4 linked regions of the Saccharomyces cerevisiae S288C genome follow. The protein of the gene in region 1 interacts with the protein of each later gene in a pairwise test. Each region holds a gene or a part of one and is shown on either strand. Other genes may lie near its edges. The genes, in order: TYE7, MGA1, YAP6 and CCM1.

Evidence for each region.
Region 2: the proteins of TYE7 (region 1) and MGA1 interact in a two-hybrid assay, tested with the Saccharomyces cerevisiae proteins (one large-scale study listed by BioGRID).
Region 3: the proteins of TYE7 (region 1) and YAP6 interact in a two-hybrid assay, tested with the Saccharomyces cerevisiae proteins (one large-scale study listed by BioGRID).
Region 4: the proteins of TYE7 (region 1) and CCM1 interact in a two-hybrid assay, tested with the Saccharomyces cerevisiae proteins (one large-scale study listed by BioGRID).

The regions. Positions count from the first base shown.
Region 1 is NC_001147.6:975,824-980,436, reverse strand, and holds TYE7 (Tye7p), read left to right. Parts: upstream 1-2,367; coding exon 2,368-3,243; downstream 3,244-4,613. UniProt on the Saccharomyces cerevisiae protein: Transcriptional activator of glycolytic gene expression, such as enolase genes (ENO1 and ENO2), glyceraldehyde-3-phosphate dehydrogenase gene (TDH), phosphoglycerate kinase (PGK1), phosphoglycerate mutase (PGM1), pyruvate kinase (PYK1) and triosephosphate isomerase (TPI1) genes.
Region 2 is NC_001139.9:985,539-990,959, reverse strand, and holds MGA1 (Mga1p), read right to left. Parts: upstream 2,912-5,421; coding exon 1,541-2,911; downstream 1-1,540. Other genes in the region: 6-phosphogluconolactonase SOL4, read right to left, coding at 4,221-4,988; CPD1 (2',3'-cyclic-nucleotide 3'-phosphodiesterase), read right to left, coding at 5,275-5,421.
Region 3 is NC_001136.10:974,131-979,113, forward strand, and holds YAP6 (Yap6p), read right to left. Parts: upstream 1,653-4,983; coding exon 501-1,652; downstream 1-500. Other genes in the region: chaperone ATPase HSP78, read right to left, coding at 1-113; SWM1 (Swm1p), read right to left, coding at 2,587-3,099; EXG2 (glucan exo-1,3-beta-glucosidase), read right to left, coding at 3,391-4,983. UniProt on the Saccharomyces cerevisiae protein: Transcription activator involved in the regulation of genes expressed in response to environmental changes and metabolic requirements.
Region 4 is NC_001139.9:789,422-796,152, reverse strand, and holds CCM1 (Ccm1p), read left to right. Parts: upstream 1-3,099; coding exon 3,100-5,694; downstream 5,695-6,731. Other genes in the region: YGR153W (uncharacterized protein), read right to left, coding at 1-61; Ras family GTPase RSR1, read left to right, coding at 661-1,479; GPC1 (glycerophosphocholine acyltransferase), read right to left, coding at 5,824-6,731. UniProt on the Saccharomyces cerevisiae protein: Regulates mitochondrial small subunit maturation by controlling 15S rRNA 5'-end processing. Localizes to the 5' precursor of the 15S rRNA in a position that is subsequently occupied by mS47 in the mature yeast mtSSU.

The sequences.
Region 1 (4,613 bases):
GAAACATATAAAACGGAATGAGGAATAATCGTAATATTGGTATATAGAAATATAGATTCCATTATGGGGATTCCTAGACCCTCGAGGAGAACTTCTAGTATATTCTGTATACCTAATATTATAGCCTTTATCAACAATGGAATCCCAACAATTATCTCAACATTCACCCATTTCTCAAGAACATTGTTGAAATGTAGCGCAATAAGTGGTGATTGATACCAACGTTTGCTGCTACGTTAGCAACCTAAACGCTTACACCAAATGTTTAAATTAGTATACTTTTCGAAAATTCGGTGGATATTAGAATAATTTTTAAGATCCTATTGATGATTAAAGCTATAATTGGGTAAAATAAGCATATTCTTGAAGTTCATTACTAAGATATAGAAATCAAGGAAAGGAAACCGATATTTCTACGTAACATTTATTATTTTTCCTTGCATTTTGTGTCGCGTTCTCTTTTATTTCTTTACATTATCAGTCCTTGTATTGCGGCATCCACTAAATCTGATGATTGTTTCTTAATTCCCATGTCATCTTTTTACACAGTATATAATAATATGCTGAATTATACGATATCAAATTTCTTTGGGTGCGATGTAGATGATTCAAATACTCAATAATTATGCATGAAAGAAATCCATTATTCTTGGCAGGAATGCCTCAGGGAATATGGGACCATGACAAGAGGCAACTTAATAGGCATTTACAACCTTTTGATTGAATAATCTAACTATGGGATATAAAGAAGCCTCTAAAAAATTAAATGCCGATAACCTTGATGATTTTCGTATGCTTATTTAATGCGGCTCCCGTCAGCGCCCTGCCGGGTAATATGATTCCCTTTCCAAGTAAGAAGAGCGACAGATAAGCGCGCTTGTATTCATCATACTGCCGCTATGCTGCTTTTCAGTCTGAAAATCGGATGTAATCTGAAAAGCGGATCTGTATTACGATATGATATGGGCAGCCTTTGTGGGTACGATGTCTAGAATTGAAACATTTTTTAATTATATTAATCTTATCGTTTACTTTTTCACATTCTTATCAGTAGGGCGAAACACTAAGAAAAGAGGAACCTCTTTGCGGCTTACGTAAAAAATGCACTAGCCATGTTTGGCACGTTCCCTGCTTGAACTGACATTAGGGGTCGAGCACGAGAGAAAGCCTATTGCCATCACGTGGCAAGCCAGCAATGATCAATTAACAACGCTAAAATCGGCGTATATGCAATGCCAATCCTACGATACTGTTGAAGTAAGGGGGAGGGCGCTAATACGACTCAGACTGACATGCCCTAGTTGTGCTACAAAATTGTCGTTTATGTTACAAACACGTGTAAGATAGTAAAATACCCTTCTTGGACATTCTATTATGCCAAAGCAAAAAAAAATCGGTGAAATAAACCTGTCTCAGTCTGGTTTAGGAAAAGAGACATCACCACACCATGCCAAATGCGGCAACTTCCTTAAACCGCGGTGTCGTAGAACCCATTCATCCTTGTGTATACGCTATGCTGGGCGGTACTTACCGGATCTGGCAGGCACCACATGGGTAGAGAATAAATGACGCACGCATCTGAATGTTACACCCAGAGGTATCCCGGAAAATCTTCCTTTTGAAACCGGAACAAGCTGACCTTGACTTTCACCCGCGGATACTGCTTAGCCCAGTTCCGGCCGTACACAAGCCCTTCTGGAGTGGGATTGAGCTCACTTCATTGCGCTGTTACTCCCCTAACAACGTGGCCTCTCTCCATTCGGTAAGGAATCAAATTTTGTTCTAGAATGTTCATGCTGCTGCGGTCATTTCTTACCCTAGTAGTAATTCATTGTGCCCACGTACGAACCGTACAATGGGATTCTGCCCTGCGCACGTTCACAGTTCGCCAAATAACAATTCTCATTTTCATTTCTTTTTCACAGTGTAGATGATACCGTGTCTGCGACATTTCCATTCTTAGTAGAAATGCAAAACGCAACGTTTGCTATTAATTTTTTTCACCTCTGTTTCCTTTTTTTTTCTCACCTCAACAATCAAATGTACTTATATAAACTTCTTTTGTTATCTCCAAAATTTAAACTTATTTACATCCTTTTTCACTTCATATATCAATTCATGGGAAAGTAAAGCTATCTTAATTACATCCTTATTTTATATTTCCCAACCATCAACCTTTATTCTTTACATATTTCTCTCTTTTCTCATTTTCTTTCTTATTAAGCGTAAAGCACCACAAGCAGTACCGATCTAAAGTCTCTCTACTTTACTATTATTTTTTTTTTTTGTTCACTTCATAAACTTTTAGTGCAAAAATAAAAATAAAGACAAATAACACACTATCAAATCTCTTCAAGTTTAACAATTATGAACTCTATTTTAGACAGAAATGTTAGATCTAGCGAAACTACTTTAATTAAACCTGAATCTGAATTTGATAATTGGTTGTCGGATGAAAATGACGGAGCTAGTCATATCAACGTCAACAAGGACTCCTCGTCAGTTCTTTCTGCATCTTCTTCCACATGGTTCGAACCATTGGAAAACATTATCTCCTCTGCATCCAGCTCCTCGATAGGCTCTCCAATCGAAGACCAGTTTATATCTTCCAACAACGAGGAATCTGCTCTTTTTCCAACAGATCAGTTTTTCAGTAATCCTTCCTCATACTCGCATTCTCCCGAGGTTAGCAGCTCGATAAAAAGAGAAGAGGATGACAATGCCCTTTCGTTGGCAGATTTTGAACCGGCTTCTTTGCAATTAATGCCTAACATGATAAATACTGATAATAATGACGATAGTACCCCACTTAAGAATGAAATCGAGCTAAACGACTCGTTTATAAAAACAAATCTAGATGCTAAGGAAACGAAAAAGAGGGCTCCAAGAAAAAGACTGACCCCCTTCCAAAAGCAAGCTCACAACAAGATTGAAAAACGCTACAGAATAAACATCAACACAAAGATTGCAAGACTGCAGCAGATTATCCCATGGGTAGCAAGTGAACAAACAGCTTTCGAAGTAGGTGATTCTGTAAAAAAACAGGACGAAGACGGCGCAGAAACTGCCGCTACTACTCCTCTTCCATCTGCCGCTGCTACAAGCACGAAGCTAAATAAAAGCATGATCCTAGAAAAAGCTGTTGACTATATTCTATATCTACAAAATAACGAACGACTATACGAAATGGAAGTTCAAAGGTTGAAAAGTGAAATCGACACTTTGAAACAAGACCAAAAATAAAAGCACGCTTGCTTAAACACCAATATTATAAAATTACGATAGAAATTCCTTTCTCCTCTTTTGTTTATGCGACATTTTTTTCTTTCTTAGCGAAGTACTTTAAAAAACAAGCCCAAAAAATAACAAGGCCATAACATAGCAGACAAGAATACAAAAAAAAAAAAGAAGTTGGAAAAAACATACAAAAAGATAAAAAAAAAAAATCCCCACTAAAGAAGGATGATAAATCGTGATGCGCACTTTTCATACCTTTTTCTTTTCTATTTCGTATTATTCAAAAAAAATTCTAATTTTATTCCTCCTTTATACACATTAATGACGCGTGGTTCATAGCCAAGAAAGCACAAGACATGACGAAATTCCGTTTCAGCTACGGACGGATATGTATGCCAAAACCGAAAAAATAAAAAAAAATCAATTTTTTTTATTTCAACAAACACATACACCTTAATGATTTATACGAACGAACTCTTCTCAAACTTTTCTCATTTATTTTATTTTATTATCTTATTACGGCCTTTTCTATTCATTACATTCACAACCCGTTATTATGTCACGCCATAACTAAACTAAGTACGAAACATATATTTACAGCATTATATTCTTAAAGAAGTTTTTTGGGCTTTTTGTATTCCCCCCTCTGATTGACGACAATTTGTTCGAAGCGAGATATTGGGCTGTCATATTAGCAAAAAAATATTGCTCCAGGGGAGGTTCGAACTCTCGACCTTCAGATTATGAGACTGACGCTCTTCCTACTGAGCTACTGAAGCGCACAAAATATCAAACGTGTTGTATTACGGGCTCGAGTAATACCAGATTCCTTGAAGTCTTGATATAAGCAGTTTTCGGAATTTCTAGTATATTCCTTATACATAATATTAAAGCTATCAGCAATGGAATCCCAACAATTATCTCAAATTCAACCAATTCTTACGAGTATGACTGTGTGGAGAATGTGGATTTTGATGTAATTGTTGGGATTCCATTGTGATTAAGGCTATAATATTAGGTATGTAGATATACTAGAAGTTCTCCTCGAGGATTTAGGAATCCATAAAAGGGAATCTGCAATTCTACACAATTCTATAAATATTATTATCATCGTTTTATATGTTAATATTCATTGATCCTATTACATTATCAATCCTTGCGTTTCAGCTTCCACTAATTTAGATGACTATTTCTCATCATTTGCGTCATCTTCTAACACCGTATATGATAATATACTAGTAACGTAAATACTAGTTAGTAGATGATAGTTGATTTTTATTCCAACATACCACCCATAATGTAATAGATCTAATGAATCCATTTGTTTGTTAATAGTTTAAATGTTTTTATCGGAAGAGGTTTTGTCATCACATCAG
Region 2 (5,421 bases), on another chromosome or scaffold:
AAAGGATAGATAAACAATTCACATGAATGTCAAAATTTTGAAAAACACTCATTATTCAAAAAGATTGCATAAAAAGATATACACTTAAAGTGCAAGATTATACCAACTTTCAGAATACGGAGAGGTTTTTAAGTGGATGAGCATTTTTTCATAACGTTCTAAAACGATATTTACAGTATTTGGTGGCTAAATGAAAAAAAGCCGTATCATGACTGTGCTAGAGAAAGTGTGGCAGTTACATAAATCAAAAGATACAATTTAGGTGCGGCCTCTATAGCCAATGCATGCTCACTGAATAGCACAACAAATTTTTGTTTGGCTAAAGCGATATCCTTTTCGACTTGCAGTTCCACTGCAAGTCGAGTATATTTCGGCAGACAATGTCATTCAAATATCTTGCCTACACTAAGAAATATGTCTCTCTTCTACAAATGTTCAAGTTAGGACATGCCGTAAATATGAAAATATTTGAGCAGATCAACCTTTCTAGAGTTTAAACATTGAAGTTTCCAATGGTCTGATACAAGCAAGCAATATGATTTAAAGAACTCCTTAATAACAACTGCTACAATTACTTTAGCTAGCTAGTACAGCAGGCAATAGGCATTTAACGCTTACACCTATTTTGCCTGTCTTTTTTTTTTTCTGACCTATTTTCGGCTCTTCTGCAGCTATTTTTCTTCATTTTTCCAATCCTAATCCGGAAAACTGAAGAAATTTACATCTTGGTGAATGCACTCTCCTCCGAACGCGTCTGAATAAATGATGTAACCTTAAAACTTTAAAAATAATGCGGATAACCTAAACAACCCTCTTAGATAAACATCAAGAAGTAACATGCTCATAAATACGTCTCGAATGATTCTAGTATTTAAAAAGCACGGAAGGAACGCCTTGAGAGGACGGAACAAGGCAATGGTTGCAGGCGATAAAGAATCAAGAGGCAACCCTCAAGCTTCCAGCCAGTGGAAGAAAACAGAGATGAAAGAAAAGGAGTGAAGTGCTTGCATAGAAGAGCAATACGTGGCAACAAAGTCCCGAACTTGCCTAAAAAAGCATAATTTAATTACATTTATTTAACTTTATTGCTCCTTCTTTCAAAAGTCGGAAGCGCGCGAGTAAAAAAAATTACAGAGCGAAGGAGAGGCGAAGGATAGATGGGGAACGAAATTATTGTTTTATTTTTCCTTTTTTGTTGGAATGTTAAGCGGATCCTTGCTAAAAGATCTGCTCTACTTTCTTACATTTGAAATTTTTAAAGTTTTCTCAAAAAAAAAAAAAAAATTGGAGAACAAGCGCAGCCGGAATGAAAAAGGCCATAATTTATGTTAAATTAATCATAAGAAAAATTGATAATAGCAAACATAGCTTGTGATTCTTTTTCTTTCGGTTTGTGAAATAATTGCATTCTTCCCCCTTGTATCTAGTATGCAAAAATATGGAGAATGTTCGTTCTTCCCTACGTTCACTGAATGTTCCTTGGTATCAACAGCGGTAACAGTTTGTTCAGTTGGATGCGATGTGTTCTGTTGAAAATAATTCAGTAAGATGCTGGTTTAGTGGCGACTTCACCTTTCGTGATTATAGGTATACTCTTGGGAATTATGCTGGACGTCAGAGAAGTTAAGGTCGATGATGTATTCGTAGTCTCTTGAAGGGGTAGGGCAGTTGTTTTAACAGATTGCATAGACATCCATTTACTTTCAAGTTGAATGATTTCCTCCTTGGAATTCTGTAATAGGGATAAGCTTGTTCGAAGGTCTTTGTTCATGGCATCATTAGTTAGAGTTTTATTTTCATCTTGCGATGCGCTGTTAATATGTTTTTCTATCAAATCAGTGATTGTTGATAGAGAGTTCTTTAAAGTTTGTATATGGTTATCCAAAGCTTGCCTTTCACTTATATTGCTTTTTTTGGGTAGTGTTACATTATTATTACAAACTCCTAAAGCAGGTGAGTTAGAAGCAGAGTTCGAAAGAGAGTTCATCATTGAGGGAAATGGAGTGGAGTAACTGCTATATGGCGGGACTGTAGGGAGCGGTTGCTGCTGCTGCTGCTGCTGCTGGGCAAAAGCTCCAGGATGATACGGCATTGGGTAATTAACAATTGGCAAGGAAGTTGTTTTCAGATCATCTGTCGAAGATAGTGTTCCTGATTTCTTCATCGGAGGTCCAGATAATGCTTGTGGAGAAAGTACTTGTTGCGGCTGCTGAGGCTGGACTATGCTATCTTGGGTGGAAAATTGATTGGGATAGTCATAAGAATTCATCATCCTCGCCGAGATGCTTTGCCTTCGCATCATGTTCACCGTGGGTTGTTGAGGGGGCAGTGAAGATATTAGGTAAGGTCCACTACTTTGTTGCTGTTGCGGTATACTGATATGTGGAGGACTTTGGGATGTTGAGTAATGGACGGGACTGCCCATAAACATGTTTGATGGTTCTCTTGCAGAAACTGGTCCGGATTGCTGAGAGAGAACATTTAACCTCGAAGCATCAACGTAACTGACAGATATTGGTGACAGTATATTCTTTCTTTTACCATCTTTTCCCACACCAGTGCTCTTTCTTTGGATTTTATTCAAGATACCGGCGTTGGCCTCTTTGAAGAAGAATCCAGATGGGTGGGTAAATTTCCATTCAACAAGTTCTTTAACGTTACCATTGTTGGCAGAAGATTGGTCTGGGGAAGGATGAGATAGTTTATGAAACCCGTACATGTGTAGTTGACGAACAAAACTATTGACATTTCCATGTTTGAAATAACGCTTCAGAACATGTGTACTAAAATTAGGGTCATATGGCTTCAAAAAAAATACCGTGTTATCAGTCGGAGACCAGTATATCCATTTATTTACTTCCGGTTCCAGAAGAATTGCATGAAGTTGGTGGACGAAAGTTTTAGGTTGCATGTGGCCACCGGTTCTCTGAGCTATTGTATTTTATGGCGTGGGTGAAAATTCAATATAGGGGTTACAGCTGCCTAACCTTAAAGCGTGTAAAGGAGATCTAGATCTTCTGCAATGATCAGCTACTACCAATATATATATATTGGAAAAAAAGGTAAGTAACGACGTATCAAGATAAAACCCCAAAGGAAGAAAGATGCAACCGAAAGGAAAGCATGGAAAACTTCGAGCTATTCACTACCTGATTACTTCAACGTTAATGAATACCCTAAACGTGATAAGTTTGTGCTTTTCCTTCGATATGGATATCTACTGCCTTCCATTTTCTGCTCTACGGGTCAACAACTGAAAGATTATTTTTTCGGTTCCTCCTTTTTCTTCTCGAAAAAAAGCTTAAATCTTTCAAAGACAAAAAAGAAAGATTGCACCAAATCAGCGCAGAAGGCAGCAACCAGAGAGACGGGGGCGCAGAGTCAACATCATATACGTAACAAGTTGTTCAGGGCGGATCGCTTCACGTCATACAAAGGCGCGGATATGCACTAATCTGCAAATCTCGCAGTCACCGTAAGCCCAAGCCAAAGCGAACCATCGGTGCTAAATCGGCCCGCCCGACTGAGACGCACAGATTCCTACGCAGGCTCTCCTTGTGCCGCCCACGGAGTATTCCGTTCACCCAAAAAAAAATAAAAAACGAAAGGGGCAGACCAGGGGCAGACCAAAGGAGGGGAATTACCGGCGTGGCTAATATTCCTTATTTTGCTTAGAGCACCTTCCGTTCCGCCGCCGCTGCTTCCTAATCTGGGGCCAGGAAACGTCTGCGGCGGGCCAGATTCATTCTCGAGCCAGGAGAACTGCGTAGCTTGCGATAAAGGGGCGAAATTAACCCTTCCATGCAGCTGGCCCGAAGCAATTTTATATTTCGTGTGCTCGCCAAAAAAAAAAACCCTGCTGCGTCCCTTATTCTATTTCCATGGAAATTTCCGTTAGCGCTGTTTTGCAGGTGGTTCCGAGTCATAGCATTAAGATTAACGCGTTGTAACGGTATCACCGGGTGAGCTATGTTTTTCTTTTAAGTTATGCAACCTTCGCGGAGGCTCGGTTGCTTACGGAACTTTTAAGGTTGAGTTTGCCTTCGGTACCCCTTTCCTTTCTGCTGTCAATTCTTCTAGAAGAACTGGGTTTATGCTTCGGGAGTAAGCTCCAACATACGCTGTAAAGAAGACAGTTGTCATTTATTTATTATTATGTAATGTAATTAAGGTTGTCTGTCGTGATTAACGGAGCCAGTTTCGTATAAAGACGAGTGTAATTAGCAGTTTTCAGGAATCAAGGCGCCAGCTTCGTCGTCGAGAAACCAAGTTACTTTGGTTCCGACCATTTCATTAACCAGCACACTAGGTAGTTCGCTATTTTTTACGATTAACACGTCATGCATGATAGCCTTTTTAGCAGCTCCCCTAACGAGAAAGCACACACTTTTAGCCTCGGCTACTACTGCTAATGTAAAGGTGATCCTGTCCTTGGGTGCCTTGGGCGAATTATTACACCATAAAACCTTGCGGTCCATCTCTTCTACAAGGTAATTAAATTCAACCCCGGGAAACAACGAGCATGTATGTCCATCTTCTCCGCATCCGAGTAAGATTAGGTCGAATGATGCAGGCAGCATGGAAGCGTATTCTTCGGCAATCTTTCTATTGGCCGTTTCACCGCCACCGATTAATGATTCGTTGATAGTGTATACAGTGGGGCCTAAGTTCAATTGGTTGCCCTGATGCACTAGCGGGTCCAAAACTGTTTTTTTGAACTGACCATAGTTACTTTGCGGATCCTCAAATGGAACCAATCTTTCGTCACAGAAGAAGATTCTCCATTGTGGCCACTTAATATGTGGAAAAATGTTTTTGTCATTTACCAAACTTTCGTACAGCGCTTGGTTCATCGATCCTCCACTGATGGCGATATTGAACACTGCATCAGCGTCGCCCGTTAACGCCGATTCTTGCTTTTCAAGGATAAACTTGCCGAATTCGTGTATGAGGCTTTTCTTTTCGCTAAACCTTTGTAATTTCACCATTTTTCTTGAGGTGGTTGTGGATTATTTGATGAATGGCATTCTTTGTTTGGAAAACTGCTGCGATAAGACTACGTTCTTCGTCATTTCTTAAATATTATGGATCTTACAATTTTCGCTGCTTAGGGGGGGATTTTTTTAATTTTCAAGGGATTTCCATCCCTTGCGAAGGCAAGCGATCAGTATACGTAAATCTCTAACTAGAACATTTTCAAGTATTGACAGATATGAAAAAAAAAAAAAAAAAAAAAATTCTATATAATTACTTACAGTGCACATAAATGTATGCTTAAACGTCCACCCGTCCCAATACCTCCCATTCTTGAACGGGCCCCACACAGTTGACCACTTTAAACGTTCCTGGGATATTCCAAGATAGCGATGAAGATACGTCAAAATCCCATCTCATTTGCACTTCATTGGACCCATCAGCGTT
Region 3 (4,983 bases), on another chromosome or scaffold:
CAAATAGATCTTTTACACTGTACAATAGTGTATATTCGTGGAGTACTTCGCCTTAATAGTTGCGTTCTCTGTAAATATTTTTGTATTGGTGCTTTTGTAGCTTGTCTTAACATATTTAACCTTGAAAGATTTTCACTCGCTTGTTTCAGGGTTCCTGGAATAGATAATAGAAGTCAAACTTTTCATGCTTACATATGCATATATATGTATATATATGTGTGTGCGTGAGTCAGTAACTAGGGGGTTTGATGAGCTTAGATACAATGAATCACAGGGGTTTATTCAAAAAAAAAAGTCCGTGCACCCCCTATTCAAACGCGATGCCATTAGATGAAAGAACACTTCTAGAACATTCTGGAAAATAACAAATTTTATCAGAACAGAATCACACCTTGATTTGTCTGTTACATTAATTATTAAAATTTATATGACCTATAAGGCCAAAGCAAAAAGTTGATCTTCCAGTACTAGAGATCAATATCTGCTCCCTATTTATTGTATTACGTGGCACTATCCGAGTGTCTCCCTACTATTTCCTCCAGGGATCTTATTTTTTTTTTTAGTTGCTCTATTTCATCTCGTTGTTCTTGTTCCTTTCTTTTAGTATTTTCAATATCCTCGATCATTCGTATATATTCAGCGTGGAAGCGTTTATTCTCAAGTTTTAGGTTTTCATTTTCATTTCTTGACATGTTGTGTTCATTTTTTATTATACTATTCTCATTCTTCAACATGTTGTTTTCGTTACATAAGACATCATACTCACTTCTTAACATAGTAATTGCATTCCTTATAGCTTCATGCTGAGCTATTAAAATGTTGTTGTCATTTCTTAATGAATCGTTTAATGATTTGAAGTTATTATTTTCTGCTAGTAAATCGTCAAATATCTTTGATTTTTGTTCGAGATTCTTGATGTATTTTTCTTTCCTTTGTCTAAATGCCTTTTGAGCGGTTCTATTTTGAGCAGCTCTTCTAGTATTTCTTAAAGTTTTGCCTGAACTACTTATGAGTTGGGTGTCTTTATCAGGAACAGGTTTGGTTACATTATCATTATTATCATTATTATCAGCTGAATTTTTAGCGGTATCAGCACTGTTTTGAAAAGAAGGAGGTGCAGTAGTAACACTGGTATTGCGAGATGGGAGGGTTGATAGTTGCTCCTCTGCAATATACTCCTTATTCAAAGATATGCTCTGGTTCGGAAGTCCATTTGGTAAAGGGGGATTTATTTGATAAGGTGCATAAGATATGGAATAACTTTTAGGGGGGAATACCACGGAAGGTTGAATACTAACATGAGCATTTTGAGGTCTGTTGTAAGAAGCTGATTGTTTTCTTTCATTTGAATGCGGAGGGATGATATAAGATGGATGTATAGGACTTTGATGCATCGATCTATAGTCAGACGGACCAGATAGATGCATCAAGTTTGGCAAAGGAGGCTGGATAGGATTGCTGTTAACAGATATGTCGGTGTCCCCATTAGTGGTTGTAGGATTTATTCTATAAGGTAACTTTTGGGACGTGCTGGGCTGTGCAATTTGCGGAGAAGGATGCTCATTTAGATTCTTCTCAGAGGCATTATAAGTAGCCATTGAGCTGCTTCCCTGATTATACATATCGGGACGAATCAACGGAGGGTTTTGCATTTGTCCCTTAGCACTCTTCGTTATTCTGTTGTTTATTGAAATTTCTAGACAAAAGTATATGCTATCGGATTCACGATTGGTGGGGAAAAAAACTCGGTGTTACAGTTTGAGGAAAGATTGTGTTTAATATTGGTTCTGTAGTACACTCCACAATCTCTCAACTCGCATTGCTTTCCAAAGATAGTCTACTCTCGATACTACAAGGCTCCACTAACTGTGTTAACAAAATAAACAAAAAAAGAGATTCTCCAGAAATTAAAAACTTGAGAATAAAAAAAGAAATCAAAAGGAAAAGAAGCAGGGCCAAGAAATACTTAATTAGCGTTTCAAATGCAGAAAAAAGTATGACAGAATGGAATCAAAGAGTATCAGAAATCATTAAAAAGTAATAGTTTACATTTGCCTGCAAACGATTCGAAAAACTTTTATCCACATGCAGTAAAAATAAGTGCAAGACTATGTTTAAAATTACAAAGAAAGCATAATCTTGAACAAAGTTTCTACCCTTCGGCATAATGCAAAGGGGCATTAGCTAAAAAAACAAAAACGGGTACGCTCTTTCTTAAATTCGCTATTACAATTCCGCAGATGCAGCAAGCAGCGAATAACTTTAACTTAAATGAAGTACGGAAAAAAAATTTAACATGCTATAAATCAGCCCATATAAACACCGCCTATCCCCCGCCGAAAAACTAGCCGGATCTATCTAAAGCGCCAAAAATCATTTCGCCGGAAACAAACCGAGAAAAAAATGCCTTTCTCGAAAGTAAACAAAGCAGTACAACTGTTTTGGGTGTTATTTTGTTCCGTGGATTTTACGCCACTGTTTTGCTTTAAAAAAATTTCTCACACAATAGTCTAGTCTCAACGGCTGTGCATAGTACCCATACACCACAATTTCTGACTAATGATCAGCATATACGTCACGTTCTGCTCATCGTGACTGTGGGAGAGCCAGTTCGTGCCAACCGTTATTTCTTGCGTACGCCAATTGTGTGATGCGCCTATCAAAAATAGAACCAGTTATCGTTTCTTTTCTTGGCTCATTGGCACCGTCGTTCCTGGAATTGGTTCCCCCGTTTAAAGAATGATCGAACGCCTGTCCAGCAAACGTCACTACTCCATTACTCTCCAGTTCCATGCCATTGAATAGATTCCAATCGTCTTCATCATGAAAAGAGTTCCAGTAGCGGTTGCTATTTTGTTCACTTGTCATTAATGCCTTACCTTGAGCGCTCTCGCGTACATTAGAATTCCTTTCCCCATCTTGGGGAGCTCTTCCCTCCTCCGCGTCGGTGCGAGTATTATCTTTCATAGCCATTGTAATATTTGCCACTTCGTCCGGAAGCGCCAGTATATCTTGATTCCATTCCGCATATAATATGTGATGTGGTGCTGGTAAATGGCGGTATTGAAAATATGAATCCCTATAAGAACTTGAACTCATAATCGTGGTTGTTATACTTTGCTCACCCCACTTCTCTGATATTATTCTCCCTTCTCTCACGATACAGCTAGGCCACGGCACAAATATGATGTAGTACTAAGATTTTTTTTTTTGAGGTTGCAATTCAGATTGTTGTCTTTTTCTACGACATGCATAGAAGTATATCATATGATATTTCGAACTTTGGGTGCTTTTCTACATAGTGCCTACGTTCTGAGTATCTATAATAATATAATGAAAAGTGTATATATAATTAGCACCATTAAACGCACCACACTGTTGCCGTTTACTTTAAAGAGAAGCGCAAAGAGCGGCAATGGTGATAGCGAGTGCGCATACGCTCGCTTTCCAGGTCAAACTCATATTTTTGATTGGTAATAGCTGCGAAGTTGTTAGTTTATTAGAAATTGCAGCATTCTTACTCTTCCTGGAAGTCGTAGTGGAGGACAAAACCGATGACGTTGTTCTTGGAAATGCCTGTGCTGATAAAGAGGATGAGAATTTTTCTTCGATAGATCCATCTGCTTTGAAGTACGTGTAGTTGTCGAAAGGGGAAGGGAAAAGGTTAGCTTCTTTTAGCTTCAAATAATCCCATTCTACGGCGTCTTCGGTCTTCCAATTCCAAAAAATCCATCCCGTTGTTTTTGACGAATAAGTGGCTAGCTGTGCCTCAATGAATTGTCTCACACGGTCACGGTAATCTTGCGTCCAATCAGCTAAGCTATTTTGGGATATACATGTTCCAACTGGCTTGTCGTTGGTGGTAAACAACGTTGTATTGTAGTATGATCCATCGTAACGTGCACCCACCCCAACACCATTTAGCCAGGTTGCACAATCAGTAATAGCGCCTGACCATTCTCCGACTACTGCTGGGTGAAAAGAAAGTTCTTTGTGGATAGAGTCCCCATAATTGATAATGTTTTCAATACGTGCAAACTGAGTTTCGGCCAATTGCGCATCAGTAAACACTTCATAATGATGATGGTCGACCAATATATCTTGAGAGCTGTAATTTGCACCAGTCAAATTGAAATAATGATGCGATACATTCTGGTAGGTTGGGTTTAGCTCCAAGTTCCAGTGACCGATTCCTTGAAAACCGTCATGAATAACAAACGTAGTGTTGTCACTCGAATTCTGATTTTTCTTGAGCAAGTCAAATGCTTCGTAATACATCTCCGTTATGTCTGAAACATCGATTTTGCCACCAAGCGGTTCGTTGACGATTTGAATACCCACCACAGGACTTTTGTCACCTTTATTTAAAAATGTCTGGAACATATCTCTCCAAATAGCCAGAGTCAGTTCTTTAGTATTATTCAACCTTAACCAGCCTAAATCGCCATAGAGTATTCTTTCACCGGAATTATCGAATCCATTCTGGGATCCAGGAGCACCATGTAGATCTAACCATACATTTAGTTCGTACTTTTGCGCCCATTCGAGAGCATTATTTAAATATTTCAGTTGTAATCCATCACTTACGTATGGATCATTGAAAGTTATGTTATCGATGTACAAGTTTTTATCAGTATTTTGTTTCCACGCCCAATATCCGATGGGGATCCTAACTAAATTGAAACCGTTGGTTTTGATTTGTTCAAAATCATCCTCTGTAATCCAAGTTTTGAAGTGATTATCCAATAAAGTTAGAGAGGTGTTATATCCTAAGGTTTTACAAAGAGTAAATTCGTCGACAATGGAGATATTGCTGGAAGAGTTTTGCTGTTTTGCCAGTGACGTAGCATTACGATATAATGATGGCGTGATATAAGGTTCTGTTACTAGCCAGCCGCCAATAGTAATACCTTTCACGGTGATAGTGTCGTTTGCATAGTAGGAGGCGAATTTGTTTTGTAAAATATTTAGTTCCAAAGGCGA
Region 4 (6,731 bases), on another chromosome or scaffold:
TATCTCTTTCCCCCTCACATTCGTAAGTGCCGACTTCTTTATTCAAACAGGCCTTTCCCATTTCTCAAAGACCTCTTTTCGTAACCTATTTAGTAATGATGAAAAGTATTAAACAGTATTTTCAAGATAAGAATTTTATTATTTTGTACCATTTACGATACACATAAACCCCAGAAAAAAACAACTTTATGGGAAAAGGCGAATAGTACTCATAATATACAAGGTAAAAGCAGGCGTATCTCAGTCATACAGTTCAATAGAGAAAGGCATTTTTGGAATATCATACATTTTATCTAGCAAGTGGAAACAGACTGTATATTCCCAAGAATCATCGCCTTTTTATCACAACGTCAGCCTCACAACTAATTCGCGTCAAAGCGCATTCATCCTCGACATTCTCAAACGCGAAATATCGTCGAAAAAGGTTAAAAAGAAAAGAGAGAAGGACAGAAAAAGAAAAAAGTAAAGTAGAGCTCGATCTCGAAAAAAAGAACCATTGCGTTCGTTCTTAACTACGCCAAGAAGTTTTTGAAATTTCATCCTCTCCACTGAACAATAATACTATTATTTAGTAACGATATAGAACATTTACATACAACGTTCTAATATTTTGGCTTCTATCATCGCTTAGAAATATTTGGCTAGGAAACATTAGGACTAATGAGAGACTATAAATTAGTAGTATTGGGTGCTGGTGGTGTCGGTAAATCCTGCTTAACCGTGCAGTTTGTACAGGGAGTTTATTTGGATACGTATGATCCAACGATCGAAGATTCTTACAGGAAAACCATCGAGATCGATAACAAGGTATTCGACCTGGAAATTTTAGATACAGCGGGTATAGCACAATTTACTGCAATGAGAGAATTATACATAAAGTCAGGAATGGGGTTCCTGTTGGTATATTCAGTAACAGATCGGCAATCTTTGGAAGAATTAATGGAGCTAAGAGAACAGGTCCTTAGGATCAAAGATTCCGATCGCGTTCCAATGGTTCTAATAGGTAACAAGGCTGATCTAATCAATGAAAGGGTAATAAGTGTGGAAGAAGGTATAGAGGTAAGCAGTAAATGGGGTAGAGTTCCCTTTTATGAAACAAGCGCTTTGTTGAGGAGCAATGTGGATGAAGTGTTCGTTGATTTAGTTAGGCAAATCATTCGGAATGAAATGGAAAGTGTTGCAGTTAAAGACGCAAGAAATCAAAGTCAACAATTTAGCAAAATCGAGTCTCCATCAACCAGGCTCCCTAGTTCTGCGAAACAGGATACGAAACAATCAAACAATAAGCAATCATCAAAAGGTTTATATAACAAATCTTCACAAGGACAAGCTAAAGTTAAACAATCTACTCCGGTTAATGAAAAGCACAAACCGTCACATGCCGTTCCGAAATCTGGTTCTAGCAACAGGACAGGAATTAGCGCTACTTCACAACAAAAGAAAAAGAAGAAAAACGCTTCCACTTGCACTATTCTATAGTCACTTAATTTTATTATAAATGAATCAAGATATCAGATAAAAAGACTTTACTTGAAATAGTTTTATTATAGTTCTAAAAGGTTTAGTTTAAAGTATTAGCATACGTTGTATAAGTTTTTAAAGAAATCAATTAATAATGTTTGAAAATAAATTTAAACCCAAAAAAAATGAAATGTTAAAAATATGGACGCAACCGGAATCGAACCGATGACCTCTTCCTTGCAAGGGAAGCGCGCTACCAACTGCGCCATGTGCCCGCAATCTATGGGATTTTACGGTAGATGCTGCGTTACGTATAAAAAATATTAAATGAACAGATCCACACTCTCGTAACTAAAGCTCACACTGTAGTTTCTTATAGTTTATGTTGATTGATATAATTAATTCAGAGGGTCTTTAGTCTCAGATATACTTCGCAATTACTTAAAAGAGTAATCGTTAATGTTTTCCCTCCAACATAGTCGTTATCGTTTAGCGTGCGTTATCAAGTTTCAACGATGACAAAATGATTGATTAATTAGTCCATTTTTCTTTCCTATCTAGTAAAATCAAAGTGTTTCTTCTCAACCTGAGATCTAACTCACTGTATTGATATTGAAAATCTGAGTAGTCTTCTAAAAAGCACAGAAATTAGGCCGATGTTTTCGACTTCATATCTCGTCGTGAGGCTGTTTCGCACGCCTTTTATTTGTTTAGATCGGACATTTAGGGTGATTCATATCAGGTCATATTGCGGCATCTCATCTCAAGAATAAAATAGAATTACTGTGTTTGACAATGGTCTATCGTCCACTGATGGAACAAAAGTCGGGAGCAATTCTTGTAAATGGAAGAATACAAAATGGCCACCAGTAGCGGTGAAAATGGTTTAGTAGTCATCCCTCCTTTAATACGAAACATTCAGTGGGTCTCCGTGAACGTCTCTATTCTATTTTCGATAATCGATCCACTGACTCTCAGGCGCTTCTTATATTATCTTTCTCGATATTATAAATCAGCCGATACAGGGTTACACCAAGTGTCTTTACATAATCCTGACTATCATGACCTACTTCCAATCTTATCATCTAAATGACTGTACATTCGTTCTTCTCTCATAATGCTTGCTTGCTTGTGAAAAATGGGTGAATAATTGCATTATTGTTGGGATTCCACTGTTGATAAAGATCACATATAACATTATGGATAAGGAATATACTAGAAACTCTCCTCCAGAACATAGCGCCCACAAAAGGGAATCGATATCTCTACATAATGCTATTATTTTTTCTTCCTTGTCGCACATTATCTTACTTCATCATCAATCCTCGTGTCTCTGCTTACATTAAGTTTGATGACCGTTTCTCAATCTTTATGACATCTTCTTACACAGTGTATTGCAAAGTACTAGTAATATGAATTCAAATCGATCGATGGTAACTGATTCTTATTGCAAAAGATCTGCCTTGCTCTAACCTTTTTTCTGAGATAGAGAGTTAGCTCTACTTCCACACCAATATCTGAGCGTCGGACAGGATTGTGAAAAATTGGAGGCATAAAATGTAAAAGCAAAGCCATAGTCCATAGTGCACAGGAAAATAGCATTGTTTCACAAGTCCTAACAGATAGATAAATATAAACATGTACATGGCCAGATGTGGCCCCAAGAATAATGTGCTGTGTTTCCCATTTCAACTTTCCTTTCTATTTTCAAAACGACTAATAAATAAGCGTTTCAAGTATACCCTACAAACTGAAGATGAAAAGAATATGATGGGGAGTTTAAGTAAAAATAAAATAATAACACCTGAAGACGTTGAGTTCAAATTAGCACAATTACGAGAATTTTCTAATACTTTAAAAGAACGCATTCACAACACTAAATCGGTGAATTCAGATGGCCACCAAAGCAATAGTATCGCACCAATCTCAGAAGACTCAAGGAATGTTAATGTCACCAAAACATCATCTGTTCCTAATGAAGAAAAATCCAAAAATCTATCAGATTTGATTCATTCTTCGTTTTTAGAAAAAATGGATCACCTCGTACCAAAAGTTATAAGAGAAAGAGTAGCAGACGACGACATACTTGCAAAAAACCTTTTTGATAGATCACACAGTAATTGGGCACCTGTCATAGATAGGCTTTATGTCAGTGAGAAACGGTTCATGGATATTGATTCCAGAGAATTTTCTGTTTGGTTAAATGGTACAGTCAAATATTTGCCATTTCATAGTATACTACACTTGGATGAAATGCTATTAGAACAAATCAATGGAGATGTTGTAAAATTTAATACCCACATGTACGAATGTATCTTTAACAACTTAGGAAATTTAAAACCAACTAATTTTAATCAGGATGGTACTAACGATAAAGTTATCCTCAAAATGAAAGAGTTGTTAGAGAGGTATGATAAGGCATTAAAAATAACTGAAGAAAGAATTAACAAAAAAGAAGGATTCCCTTCCAAAGTACCAAAGATGACGCAAGCAATACTTAATAATTGTTTAAAATACTCGACCAAGTGTTCAAGCTTTCACGACATGGATTATTTTATTACAAAATTCAGAGATGATTATGGCATAACTCCTAATAAGCAAAACCTAACTACTGTAATACAATTCTACTCTAGGAAGGAAATGACTAAGCAAGCCTGGAATACTTTTGACACCATGAAATTTTTATCTACAAAGCATTTCCCTGATATCTGCACATATAACACAATGCTGCGAATATGCGAGAAGGAACGGAATTTTCCTAAGGCTTTGGATTTATTTCAAGAAATTCAAGACCACAATATAAAGCCTACAACAAACACTTACATAATGATGGCAAGAGTGTTGGCTTCTTCGAGCAGTAATGCCGTTGTCAGTGAGGGTAAATCAGACTCTCTAAGATTACTGGGATGGAAATACCTTCATGAGTTGGAGGACAAGAATCTTTACAGACATAAAAAAGATGACTTAAATTTATTTTTGGCTATGATGGCATTAGCCGCGTTTGATGGTGATATTGAATTAAGTAGAGCTCTATATTACTTGTTCATCGCGAAAAAGTACAAAACTTTGTGCGCAAATTGGAAAGGAAACATTCTCGTAGATCAAGATACAATTTGGAAGTCAACTTTAATGCCAGAAATGCTGAATTATTTGATGCTTGCTTATGCAAGATTTGATCCCAGAAATTTGCCAGTCTTATCCGGTTATGAAAAAGGCATTGAATTGAGAAGAAAATTTCTTCGCGAATTTGATTCCTCCATGAGGTTAGATGATACAGACAAATTGGTCAAATTTAAATTACCATTTCTTCCAATTAGTGACCTAAATTCGGAGGCACAAGTATTGGCGGAATCTAACGCAATCTGGAGTTTCAATATGGAAAATGGAGGAACGCGCAATACATTGACATCTTCAAATGAAGCGGCGTTGGAGGATATCAAAAAATATAGGCAATTACTTGATTCGTTTGCGCAAGAAGCAGAGGATTTCAACGAGTTTAAGTTTAAAGTTATGTACGAAGTGACGAAAATGCAAAGAGAAAGTATTAATGTGAACGTCTTCAATAAAATTTCACTACACACATATTTGTCAATTCCCATTAACTTAAAACAACAGAAGGAATTCTTGCGAAGGTTGACGTTCTTCACTTTCCAACAACACGAATTTGAAGCTGTCATAAAGCGTTTGTATGAAGGATACCGTAATATTCCTTCGTCCCATACGCGTGACCAAAATTCAATATCAACTGAAGCCATCTCAGTATCCAAACCTGAGACCACGGAAGACCTCAACTTAATAATGCATGATATATGGTATATTACATGTTTGAGGCACAAAATCATGATGGACACCACGTTATATGAGCTGGTGATGAAAGCCGCTATAGAATTTCAAAATGAGGACTTAGCAAAGAAAGTATGGAATGATAGGGGTAAATTTAGGACGACTGTACCGTTTCTGAAAATGGACCAAAGAATAAGAATAGCAAAGGATCAGAAATTTGCCCATCTAATGGTTGAATTCTTCACAAAGCAAGGAAAGTATTCGGACGCAATAGCTATCATATTGTCTTCAAAAAATCGCTTCAATTGGACTTATTCCATGGTTAGGAATTTGCATAAAGCATTAGAAGAAATCGAGGATAGAAATAGCGTTGAAATCTTACTGGATGTAGTAAACAAAAAGTCACACGCAAAGGCCCTGAAGTGGGAGGAACAAGAACTTAACATGTAGTCATTAGACTAAAAGTGATTATATATCAAGAAACGACATATACGCGTCCATGCATGCACATATATATATATAGTAAAGCGCCTGTAAATAAAAGCTCTCAAAGTTAACAGATAAATGAAGTGAACTATCTTAATCACTCTTTGAGGATACACTTGAAGAGTCGTCAAAATCTTCGTCACGGTTGACATTCAAGTAATCCTTATCATTCACGGAGGCATCAGATATGACTGCATCAGAATCAGGCTGTAACTTTTGTTGTAAATTCTCAACTTCAAGACGTAATCTATCAACTTCTTTTTCGAAATTCTTCCCGTAGTGGTCGATATAGTAGGTAGCCCCATTATGAGACGCCCATAGAAATACTATAGTTAAAAATAGGGCCGCAGCTAATTTGTAACGAATCCATATGCCACACAATAGCATAGTGAATAGTTGATAGAAATATTGAGAAAGTGTGTAAATTATCATCGGCCAAGGTGACCTTAATTTAACTGCCCAAAAGTTTTTAAATTGGTGTGTGGTTAAATATTCAAAACTTGTCATTCTTTCCCCTGACTTGATCTTGCTAGACTTTTTCAACGTGATGAAGTAATGGTATAATGATTGCCAAACCAAATAATAAAGGGATGTCCAAAGAATATTTTTTTTGATGTCCAATTCACTTTGAATAATTGCTCCCGGAAACCTTTCGATTTTGTATTCGAGTGGTAATCCATGATAGATGACGTACATGACACAGGGAGGTATTATGTGAATGAAGCATGAAGTAGTCTTATCTATAGAATGTATTACCAAGGAATTTCTCCAAGTAATAACGGCAAAGCATAACGTTCCGAAAGTGAATGCAAAACATGACTGGAAAAGGCTGTATGAATATGGGAAAATCCAAATAAACAATAGGCATAGCATGTTCACAAAGTAACAAAAATCAGCCAGAAAGTAGTGGTTTTTGGTTTTATAGTATGTGTAAAAACGTATGGGCATCAGAACGAAGAACAGGATGGTATAGTAAACATGAAACCATTCTGGAAACCTGC